2 linked regions of the Daphnia pulex genome follow. Each later gene encodes a partner of the first gene's protein in a complex. Links are inferred from orthologs where the notes say so. Each region holds a gene or a part of one and is shown on either strand. Other genes may lie near its edges.

Evidence for each region.
Region 2: eukaryotic translation initiation factor 3 subunit A-like (region 1) and eukaryotic translation initiation factor 3 subunit B-like share a complex: the UniProt entries of both Drosophila melanogaster proteins name them as parts of the eukaryotic translation initiation factor 3 (eIF-3) complex. The link is inferred for Daphnia pulex from reciprocal best matches to the Drosophila melanogaster genes eIF3a and eIF3b.

Annotation. Positions count from the first base shown.
Region 1 is NC_060026.1:6,108,092-6,114,098, forward strand, and holds the start of eukaryotic translation initiation factor 3 subunit A-like, read left to right. Parts: upstream 1-2,181; 5' UTR 2,182-2,623; coding exon 2,624-2,672; intron 2,673-2,792; coding exon 2,793-2,992; intron 2,993-3,057; coding exon 3,058-3,206; intron 3,207-3,267; coding exon 3,268-3,502; intron 3,503-3,570; coding exon 3,571-4,479; intron 4,480-4,572; coding exon 4,573-4,719; intron 4,720-4,776; coding exon 4,777-5,046; intron 5,047-5,111; coding exon 5,112-5,213; intron 5,214-5,275; coding exon 5,276-5,645; intron 5,646-5,726; coding exon 5,727-5,968; intron 5,969-6,007. Other genes in the region: zinc finger protein jing-like, read right to left, coding at 950-1,392. UniProt on the Drosophila melanogaster protein: RNA-binding component of the eukaryotic translation initiation factor 3 (eIF-3) complex, which is involved in protein synthesis of a specialized repertoire of mRNAs and, together with other initiation factors, stimulates binding of mRNA and methionyl-tRNAi to the 40S ribosome.
Region 2 is NC_060026.1:9,962,259-9,967,521, reverse strand, and holds eukaryotic translation initiation factor 3 subunit B-like, read left to right. Parts: upstream 1-1,426; 5' UTR 1,427-1,551; coding exon 1,552-1,684; intron 1,685-1,762; coding exon 1,763-1,958; intron 1,959-2,023; coding exon 2,024-2,330; intron 2,331-2,411; coding exon 2,412-2,807; intron 2,808-2,874; coding exon 2,875-3,122; intron 3,123-3,183; coding exon 3,184-3,428; intron 3,429-3,489; coding exon 3,490-3,659; intron 3,660-3,720; coding exon 3,721-3,924; intron 3,925-3,998; coding exon 3,999-4,107; intron 4,108-4,171; coding exon 4,172-4,269; 3' UTR 4,270-4,533; downstream 4,534-5,263. Other genes in the region: DNA-dependent protein kinase catalytic subunit-like, read right to left, coding at 1-108, 228-417, 488-666, 736-844. UniProt on the Drosophila melanogaster protein: RNA-binding component of the eukaryotic translation initiation factor 3 (eIF-3) complex, which is involved in protein synthesis of a specialized repertoire of mRNAs and, together with other initiation factors, stimulates binding of mRNA and methionyl-tRNAi to the 40S ribosome.

The sequences.
Region 1 (6,007 bases):
AGAAAAGAATTGCAACCAAGCAAAATGAGACGAAAATTTATCCAAAACTAACCACTAAATTTGATTTCATCTTTTTTTTTAAGGTTTTTAACCAGTCTTTGTCCACATCGATAATGACCAAAACAATGATAAGCTGTTTAAATGAGTCTTTTTTGTCAGAACAAGATAAACTGTTTGTGTTTAAATATTTAAGCAAATTTACAAATAACTAATAATTTTTTTAACTATAATCGGCATGACTTTTACTGTTTGAATTCTGAAAGTATTGATTGAAGAATTGGTCGATTTAACGATTTCTGATCGAACTTATTGAGAGCAAGAGAATTCAAATCATGTACATTTAGCAATGAAGAGAGATTATCTTTAATCCATTATTATTCAATTACATTGTGTATACTTAAGATTTTATAGGAATGTTACTAGTGAATAATATTAGCTGTGCCATACAGAATGCCAAATTTTATCATGCAATGATTCGAATTCAGTTCAGACACAAATGTCTACGTTAATATAGCCGAATTAATAAGAGGCGAAGCATTATTTTGGTTTGGGGCAGCGGGCATCTTAAACACGATAGCATTTTGCAAACGCGACAAAAAAAGAGTAAAAGAATCAGAAATAGAGGATGCTAAGAACAAAAGTTCCCCAGACAAACACCCTAACAAGCTAAAGACAAATCAATTCTCCAAGTATGGCATTCTATTCAAGATCAAACATTGGAACTAGTGGAATGCGAATGTGACGCTAACCATAAAAAACGAATTAAAACGAAAATAGCTAATATTTTAAGAAAATGATGAAAAAAATTTACCAAATTTTCATTAACACTATATTGCACAGAATTGGGTACAATGTTGTAATTACAGAATTCATCTTCCAGTTATTGCAAAGAGAATTATTTCATTTGTGTTATTGTTACTTTCATTAATTATCTTTTAGATTTACTGACCTGTCTGAACTTTCTGAACTGTCGTATCTATCTGAGCGCCGACGTTTCTTTTCATCATTGACGAGAGCCGATGTTATGAGTGACCGACGTTGTTGACCATCAAAATGTTCGTTAACAGACATTTCTCGAGTTTCACCACCACTAGTCAGTCGGATTGCTTCATACGCCCGTGAATTGCTTCTAGCCTCATCGGCCATCTTACTCTTTTTCTTCTTGTCAGAATCCGCTGTTTTCTTTGTTGTAGAGGCCGCTTGGTTGTCTAACGGCACGTTGCCCGTTGCCACACCATCCATTATTCGACTGGGTGACGATGGATGCAAGCTGCCACAAGCAGGGGTTTTCACGTTAGTAGTAGAAGAACTATCGTTTACATCGTTGTCTTTAACTTTGGATTGATACGAAAGAGTCACAATCTTTGCTGATTCCAACGCTGAATCTGCCATCTTGAATGACGCTAGGAAAAATCCTCTACCACGACTACACAAACCAGTCCCTATTTGACACTTCAGACTACACACACACACACACACACGCGATTTAAGGGTACCTCGACTATCCACAATGCCCACCCCACACAGAGAAAAAACTCCCAGCGTAGAGCACTCTAGCGGTCGAAAAGCGAATATTTTTAATATCTCGTTTCGTTCCTAACTTTAAATTGATTTAGTGTAAAGAGGAATAAGAAAAAAAACTTTGTGTGTCCATAAATTTTGCATTTTTTTATTAAGTAACAAAAATAACAAAATACTATATTGCTGTGTTTGAGTTTCCTGCAACTTCAAGCGACTTCAAGGCATCTGAGAAACAGGACTCCTGGTGTTATGTTGATAATTCCTCATAGAGGGCCTTGCTATCTTCCGGCGCTACTGTCGGAAAAGTTTTCAAGTATTTCCAATTGTTGATGAATTGCCTAAATATTGAAAGATTGCAATCATTATGTAAATAGAAAAGAATCATACAGAATTACAGATCTTATAAAAACAAACTGACCGTTGAATGCGTCCAGACCTGTTCTGTATCTGTAATCTGTATCCATTGTTTTTCAATTGGTCTACTATATTTTGATGGCCTTAAAGTTCTCAGTACACACCAGGGTTGCACGCATCTATTTTTTTACACTCGACCAAGTATTTTACATGTCTGGAATAATGGGACATTTTGCCAGAACCTGCCAGAACAAACCTGGTAAATTTGTTAACAAGAAAAACAAACAACCTAAGAAAAAACGCACAAGTTTTTTTCCTGTTTGGGGATGAAAATTAATGAAGATTAGAAAGAGAGCCCGACCATCTTTAATGTGAAAACATCCAAATATAAAACAAAAGGGTATTCTAAGGTGCAACATCATGGGTAGTGGTGGGCATCGACATTCGCAATTCGTAACAAGAAGCAAATATGTTACTAATTGCTGCTAATTGTGGAAAAAGTTGTTGAGAATTGTAAAATGGCAACGCAGAATAACCTAGGGACGATTTCTATCAAACACATTGCAGGGCCATGCGCTTTGTGGCCCGTAGCTGAAGTCAGCTTGAATAGTTAACCAGTTAACCAAACCCAACCACAGTTGTCTAAAAACTTGGACGGCCATTTTCTTGCCCCAGCCACGTTGCTTGAGCAATTGCCAGCGAAGAGAAGCGTTCTGATTGCTGATCGACGTGTTATGAGAATATAAAAATGTCGCGTTTCTATCAACGACCTGAAAATGCACTCAAAAGAGCAAATGGTCTGTATTTTGTTATTCACGAGTACTTTACTAATTACTACTCAAGTTGATTTCTTAAATGTTGTGTTCACCGGTTTATATCGCTCGCTTATTGACAAAATGCTGTTACTTCTGTTACAGAGTTCATTGAAGTGGGGAAACCTATTCGAGCCTTGGATGCCCTAGCTGAAGTTATTAAGAGCAAGAAATATCGGTCAACAACTTATTCAGAAAAAGTGCTAGAACCCATAATGATCAAATACTTGGAACTTTGTGTGGATTTGAAAAAGGCGTACATGGCTAAGGAAGGCTTGTTCCAATACCGTAACATGTGTCAATCTGTAAGGATTAACTTGTTTCATGTTTTCCTTCTAACAAACTCATGATGATTGTTGTTTATTTACAGGTAAATGTTGCATCATTAGAAAATGTTGTACGATTCTACCTTAATTTAGCTGAGGAAAAAACAGAAGCAGCACGTCAAGAATCCCATCAAGCTGTTGTGGATATTGATGATCTGGACAATGTTGCTACTCCTGAAAGTATACTTCTGAGGTAGTCAATTCATTGCATTTTTTTCTGGTTGATTATGTTATCATGATTTCTTTGTGCTCAGTGCTGTCAGTGGAGAAGATGCCCAAGACAGGTCTGACCGTGTGATTTTGACTCCATGGGTCAAATTTCTTTGGGAGTCATACAGACAGTGTTTAGAGTTGCTTCGAACTAATTCAAGGGTTGAGAAACTGTACCATGATACTGCTCAACATGCCTTCAAGTTTTGTCTGAAGTATGCTCGGAAAACCGAGTTTCGTAAGCTCTGCGAGAATCTAAGGTCTCATCTTGCTTTGATGGTAAGAAAATTATTTTTTAAATTATTATTTGTTTAGAAATGTGTTAAAAGACAATATTTATATCATAGGTGAAAGGAACCCCATCTGTAACTGCTGTTAATTTGAGTAATCCTGAGACTCAACAAATGAATTTGGAAACCAGACTCTTGCAACTTGATTTCGCCATTCAAATGGAGTTGTGGCAAGAAGCATATAAAGCCATTGAAGACATTCACGGATTAATGATATTGGCTAAGAAAATGCCCCGTCCTCAACAAATGGCTCAATACTATCAGAAAATTGCCCTCGTTTTCGGAAAGTCTGGAAATCATTTGTTCCACGCTGCAGCTCTGTTTCGGCTTTTCCAACTGTCACGGGACTTGAAAAAAAATATTACGACTGAAGAACTTCAAAAACTTGGATCGCGCGTACTTGTTGCAACTTTAGCAGTACCATTACCCTCTGCACACCCTGAATTTGATCGTTTCATTGAAACCGAGAAAAGTGCTATGGAAAAAACGCAAAAACTAGCTACTCTTCTTCATTTGAATCAGCCTCCTACACGTAATGGATTGATTAAAGATTTGGTTCGCCTTGGTGTGGTAGCTACTGCAATGCCTCAGTTGCAGCAGTTGTATCATTTCTTGGAGGTAGAGTTCGACCCATTACATTTATGTAACAAAGTCAAGAACATTCTAGCGTTTATGGCCGAAGTCGAAGAGACATCTTATTTGAACCAATATATTCATGCCTTGGAAGAAATCACGCTTACCAGATTGGTAAAGCAAATAGCCCAGCTCTACTCGACTATCCGATTCGAACGTTTGGTGCAATTGGCTCCCTTTGCATCTCCATTTGACTTGGAACGCATTGTTGTTAATGCAGTCCGTCATACCGATATGCAAATAAGGATTGATCACCGTAACAATTGTCTTCACTTCGGCACTGAATTATTTGAAGCTCAACGCGAAGATTTACCAGAAGGACCGACTCTACAGGTAGAAATGTTAAAAAGTCATGACCAATGAAATGTTAGCTTTATCTTTTTTTTGTGTTTTTTTTAATTCTTTCTGATTTTATAACTTTTCTAGGCTATGCCTTCTGAACAGATACGTACGCATTTGATTACAATGTACTGCGTTCTCAACAAAGCGACAATTGCTGTTGTTGGTAATGCTCCTACTAAAGAAGAAAGACAGTTGAAAGTCCAGATCGCTGCACTTTATCATCAAAATAAAGTAATTATAACTCCATTCGTTACGTTGTTAGCAATTTGTTTAATGTGATTATTTTAGGCTAGAGACCACCACCAACTTCTTAGCCGTCAAAAGATTATTGAAGATCGCAAGGAATACCTTGAAAAATTGAATACTGAACGTGAAGAAGAAGAAGGTCGTCGTCAGGAGGAGCTGATAAGGCAGCAGTTGCTAGCAGAACAACGCCGTCTTGAAGCTGAGCGACAAGAACGAGAGAGGCTTCGTCAAGAAGCAGAACTTCGCCAAGTTCAAGCAAGGCATCTCAAAGAGAAGGTTGCTCAGTTTAGCCAAACAGCAATTGGGCAAAAAGTAATTCAACTTGCTTACCACCTGCTATGTGACGACATATTTTCATTTCATTATCTTTTTTGTAGGTTATTAAAAAAATGGAAGATGAAGATATATCAAAATTAGATCCAGACTTGATAATGGCGCGCCAATTGGAAGAATTGGAAAAAGAAAGAAAGGAATTACAAGTATGACATCTATTAATTAACCGTATTCGACACTTAAATGTTTATTGGTGGGTCTTCTGCAGACTAAGTTGAGGAGCCAGGAAAAAAAAATTGATCACTTGGAACGCGCCAAACGTATTGAAGAGATTCCTCTTTTGGAGAAATATCTAGCTGAACGTAAGGTCCAAGATAAATTGTTATGGAAACAGCAAGAAGAAGAAAGAATTGCCCAACTTCAAGAAGAACGCAAAGTGGCAATGTTACATCGTGACCGTTTGATGCGTATGCGAGTCGACAAAGAAAAGTTTATAGATAACTTGAAATCGGCTCGTAGAAGCGTTTTTAAAGAGAAATTGGCTGAATTTGAAACCATGTATGATACGGTGAGATCTGACCGTTTAAAACAACGCCGAGAACAGAGACGGGAACAGCGGCGCATTCAATGGATTAAAGGTTTGCATCTTTAAATTCGTTTCTTATAAAACAAAACTAAATCACATTGATAAATTAACAAACAAATCATTGCGGTATTAGAAAAAGAAGAAGCGGAACAAAGAAAGCGTGATGAAGAATTGAAAAGACAGAGAGAAGAAGCTGAGCGCATTGAACAAGAACGCCGCCAGGCAGAACTTGATGAACTTCGTAAACGACGTGAAGCTGCTGATCAAGTTTTGTTGAAGCAACGCGAACGCGAACGTGAAATAGAGGAAAAGCAAAAGCGGCGAGAAGAAGAGGAACGTGAACGGGAGCGTGAAGTCCGTGATAAAGAAAGAGAGGTAGATATTGCTGTGCACAAGTCCTGGTTTTTCCAATTT
Region 2 (5,263 bases), about 3.9 Mb from region 1:
TTTCAAGTTCATAAAGGAGTTGGTTAATGATGCGACTGGCCTTTTCCTTCAGTGTACTAGGAAAGTACTGGGCCAGTCTGCCTAGGAGTACTAGGAAATTCATTTTCGCTAAAGTAAAACATAAATATTATAAATAACCATAGAAATACATATCTATGCATACACAGTAATAATACAATCTGCATAACAAACAGGGTAATTATACAATAGTCTTTTTAATTAATCACCTTTGCTTGAACTATCATCAGAAGATGTAGCCATTTTTTCAAAAAGCATATTAGAAAGGGCTGGCAAATTCAGTTCTTCTAATATTTCTGTTGGTGAAGTTTGAGCAGTAATAACAACTTGGCAAAGAACAAAATAACAAGCTCCTCGTATCTTAGAATTTTTGGAGTTCATGTACATCAATGCTAAATTCTTAAGGTAAATGAAAGTTATACTATTAGGTTTTTACACATAGCTAGGTAATATTAATTATTTTCCATACTTTAATAACCACTAAATGGTTGCTCATGGATTCTCCAAATTTTTCCAGTAAATCACCCAAAATTGACAGGGCACAATTTATTATTTCTGCAAAGTTGTCATCCTTTTGAGAATCTCTGAACTTGGACAACAAGGAAATTAATCCAATTTCTTTGTTTAGTAAAGCCGAGACAACAGAATCTTTAGAAAAAATACAATGTAAATGAATTGATTAACATGTTTTTGATGGGACCAATATTTGAAACCTACTGTCTTTGGTTTTGGATACAACATCTTTAATATCCTTGATTTGCTCCAGCATATCGCTGCACGTTCCAGAATGCATCTGAAATAGATAACCTTCCAATACGCTGTCCATTTTATATTCCTCGATGTTACCGACAACCGGACACTTTTAAAAGGCCAACTTCTTCTCGATTATTCGCAATTTTTACGACTTTAAAACTTTAATCATACATATTTAAATGTTAAGACAAGTTTTCAATTGTAGTGGTTCTTCAAAATTTTGCGATCAACGTTAACTCACGTAGGTTATAGGCCTAAGTGATGTTTTCATCCCTCCCGGGTTATGATGATTCGGCTGCTAGAATTGTGCTTTTGCGTAGGCATATTTGCCATGACTGATAGTTAGGCGTAATACATATTTGTAAAATATTCGCTATCATGGTTTTAAAATATCATTACGTTACTTTAAAAATATTTAAAAAAATTATTACCAACTCATTCCTCAAATGGGTATAAGGATTCAACTTTTTTGGAAATGAATAAATGTAGGCTATTTTCTGAAAACAAAAAAAAATCCAATGTATGATTATAATGCGAATAAAAATCAAGAAAAAATAATAATAATAAAAAATCTAAATTATTTTCCCTTCAGAAGATCCCGTTCTAGCTGACAGGCTAGGCTAGTCACCAAGTTACCTATGGTGTTTGGTGAATGGTGATTGCCTGATTGGTGGATGGTGGTTGCCTTGGCCTTCTCGATGGTAGTATTATTTGTTGAAATCTGGCACAGGCTTCCGCCATTAAAGACTCGTGTCCGGTGTGCAGTGCTTGTTTTTCATCATGGCTCGACGAAAAGAAAATGATCGAGCTCAGCAAAATAACGATGACTCGGATTCTAACCCAAACGATGAATTAGAAGACGAGCCCAACTTCGATGATCCGGAAGGTTATGAGGACGATATTTCTGAAGAAGGTACCGTTTGTAACTTACCTTTTGCCATATGGCTTTCCTGAGCATGCCGGCATTGAATCTTGCTAACTGTCAATGTAGATCTTATAGGTGACCTCATCAGGCAGCGTCCGAAAGAAACCGACGGAGTCGAATCAATTGTTGTTATTGACGGTGTTCCTCAGGTTGGTACTGAGAGGATAGAAAAACTTCAAAATGTCCTGAGAAAACTATTCCAAAAGTTTGGAAAAATAACTAATGAATATTATCCTCTTAATGCTGATGGATCAACTAAAGGGTAATTTATTAGTTTTTTTTTTAACTTTTGTGTCAGCCCAATTTTAACATAATATACTTTTGAAGCCATGTTTTCATAGAGTACTCAAATGCCAATGAAGCATTGGAAGTTCTTAAAGGAACTAATGGTTACAAGTTCGACAAAAATCACACCTTCACTGTGAACTTACTTACTGACTTCGAAAAATATAATGACATTCTTGATAAGTGGGAAAATCCAATTCCTCAGCCGTTTAAGGAGCAAGGATGCCTTCAATACTATCTTCTTGATCAAGACGCTTGTGACCAATTCTCAGTTGTGTATGAGCAGGGAGACAAAGTTGCTGTTTATTTGAACACTCAACCTGAACCCTCTCTGCTGGAAGAAAGACCTGTGAGTCACTTCACCTTTATTATTATTATTATTTTTTTTTTTCATATTAAAATTTTATCTGACCAATAATTATCTTCACAGAGATGGACTGAGACTCTAGTGCGGTGGTCACCTCTTGGCACCTATCTAGCCACTTTCCATGCAAAGGGTATAGCTCTTTGGGGTGGTGAAAAGTTTCAACAAATTGTGCGCTTCAGTCATCCAGGAGTGCAATTCATTGACTTCTCACCATGTGAGAAGTATTTAGTATCTTTTAGTCCACTGGCTGATTCAAGAGCAACTGATGAACCACAAGCCATCATCATTTGGGACGTGTTGAGCGGTCTTAAGCGACGAGCTTTTAATGCCGATAAATCTCAAGCCCTGCCCATTTTTAAGTGGTCGCATGATGACAAGTATTTCGCTAGGATGGGAATCGACATGCTTTCTGTTTATGAAACCCCATCATTTGGCCTTTTAGACAAGAAGTCGATCAAAGTAACGTACACGATTTACAAAATCTTCTAATAACCATTTCCTAACATGCACTCTTACATTTTGATAGGTTCAAGGAATTCGAGATTTTGCCTGGAGCCCAACAGACAATACGATTGCTTATTGGGTCGGAGAGGAGAAAGATACTCCTGCTCGCGTCACACTTCTTGAGTTGCCAAGTCGCAATGAAGTGCGAGTCAAAAATTTGTTTAGCGTTGCCGACTGTAAAATGTATTGGCAAAAATCAGGTGACTATTTGTGTGTGAAAGTCGACCGCTATGCCAAATTAAGGAAAGATAAGTCCGATATCAAATACAGGTAATGAGATGCCACTCCTTCAATTAATAGATATAAAAGCTAATTTTCCCCCCTTTGATAGCGGTATCTACTACAATTTGGAAGTTTTCCACATGCGAGAAAAACAAATTCCAGTCGACTCGGTAGAAATCAAGGAAACCATTCAAGCTTTTGCGTGGGAGCCAGTTGGTACTAAGTTTGCCGTCATCCACGGTGAGCCACCGAGTACTTCTGTTTCTTTCTTCGAAGTTAAAACTGGACAAACGCCTACGATGGTTAAAAAATACGAACGTAAACCTTGCAACCAGTTGTACTGGGCCCCTTCTGGTAAGAAAACATTAAATTTAATGTTAAAATTCTAAAATCCTTACTATACTTTATCGAACAGGCCAGTTCATTGTGTTAGCCGGCCTACGTGCCATGTCTGGCACATTGGAATTTGTCGACACCCATGATTTTACCGTCATGAATACGGGCGAACACTTCATGGCTACTGATGTGGAGTGGGATCCAACCGGTCGGTATGTCGCAACTGCTGTTTCCTGGTGGGGTCACAAGGTAACAAAAATCAAGCAATGTATTCATTTTTGACAATGTTTGATCTCTTGTACTTTGACAGGTCGATAATGCCTACTGGTTGTGGTCCTTCCAAGGACGCATTCTCAAACGCGTAGCACTAGACAAATTCTGTCAGCTGCAATGGAGACCTCGACCACCTTCATTACTTCCAGCCCAACAAATAAAGGACATTAAGAAGTCTTTGAAGAAATTTAGTGCCCAATTCGAAGTGAAGGATCGATTGAAAATGACTAAAGCTTCCAAAGTAAATATTTTTTGAATGTGTAATTTTTGGCGAAAGTATTTTCTAAAAATCTGACATTTTCAAACTTCACCCAGGAATTGGTAGAAAAACGCCGCAAACTGATGCAAGAATATGAAGACTTGCGTAAGCAGAAGCAAGAGGACTATGACGCTCAACGTCGCCGTCGTATCGAATTGCGCAACAGTAAGTTCTTAAACCTAGTTAATAAGTAAGCTTATCAGGATTTAACTCACAAATGAATTCACAGACGTGGATACGGATGAAACTGAAGGCCGTGGAGGGGAATTAGAAGAGGAGACAGTCGAGTTTTTCATTAAAGAGGAGACGACATTCATCGACGAGTAATTGCCAAGACTGTAAACAATCACCACATCTTGAGGCGTGCTGCTTATTCAGTGAAAGGCAGCACATCTCGAGGTTTTTGTCAGATATTAATATCCGACAAATCCAACATCAGAAAATGAAGACAAATATAATTGTGTGTCTCATCGATTGGTTATGGCTGTTTGCGTCTCTCTTTGGTTTCAACTATCATGTACCCTTTAGATTATCAAAAATACATTTTGATTGCCTCGTCGCAACTGAAGTTGAACGAGAAGTAAAAAGGAATATATTGTACATGTTTCTGTTTGGGAAAAATTTACCGTTAACATTCGTTGATCAATAAGTCTGCAAATTTTTCTATAATGTTAGTCTTAAACTCTTAACAGAGATATACTCTTTCTTATAGTGCCCGAGGGTACTGTAATCGAAACATGGAGTTCGATCATTTTGACAGCAGAGTAATGAAAGACTGGAAGTACTTAAATTTTCCATGGCTTGAATTAGTTAGCATTTCGGAATTTATGGGTTATAGTGGGAAATGGAATTGAAGTCTGAAGGAAATGACGGATTTATAGAATGTTGGAAACTGGAATGGATTGGAAAATTGGAAAAACAAAAATATTATTTTTACTACTACATTTTTTTCTGGTGCGTGCGGCAACGTTGTCTCACATTATGACACGAAGTTGGGTGTGAAGTGGTGTGAAGAAGAAGGCGAAGTTTTCATTTCGATCAGTTTTGTCAGACATGGTAATGGTAAAATCTATTGCACTCCGGAGTCCGGAGCGCTCTAGTGTCAAAAGTGGCTATTGCACTCCGGAGTCCGGAGTCCTCTAGCGTCAAAAGTGGCTATTGCACTCCGGAAAGGAAATATGTAGTACTTTCATTTGGCGACCGATGGCATTCTGTTTCTGTGTTTTGAAATTTGAATGGTTTAGATTTGAATTATTTGGAAATTCAAATAAAATGTATTTATAACAATCAAATATATTTGAATCTCACTAATAAATAAAAA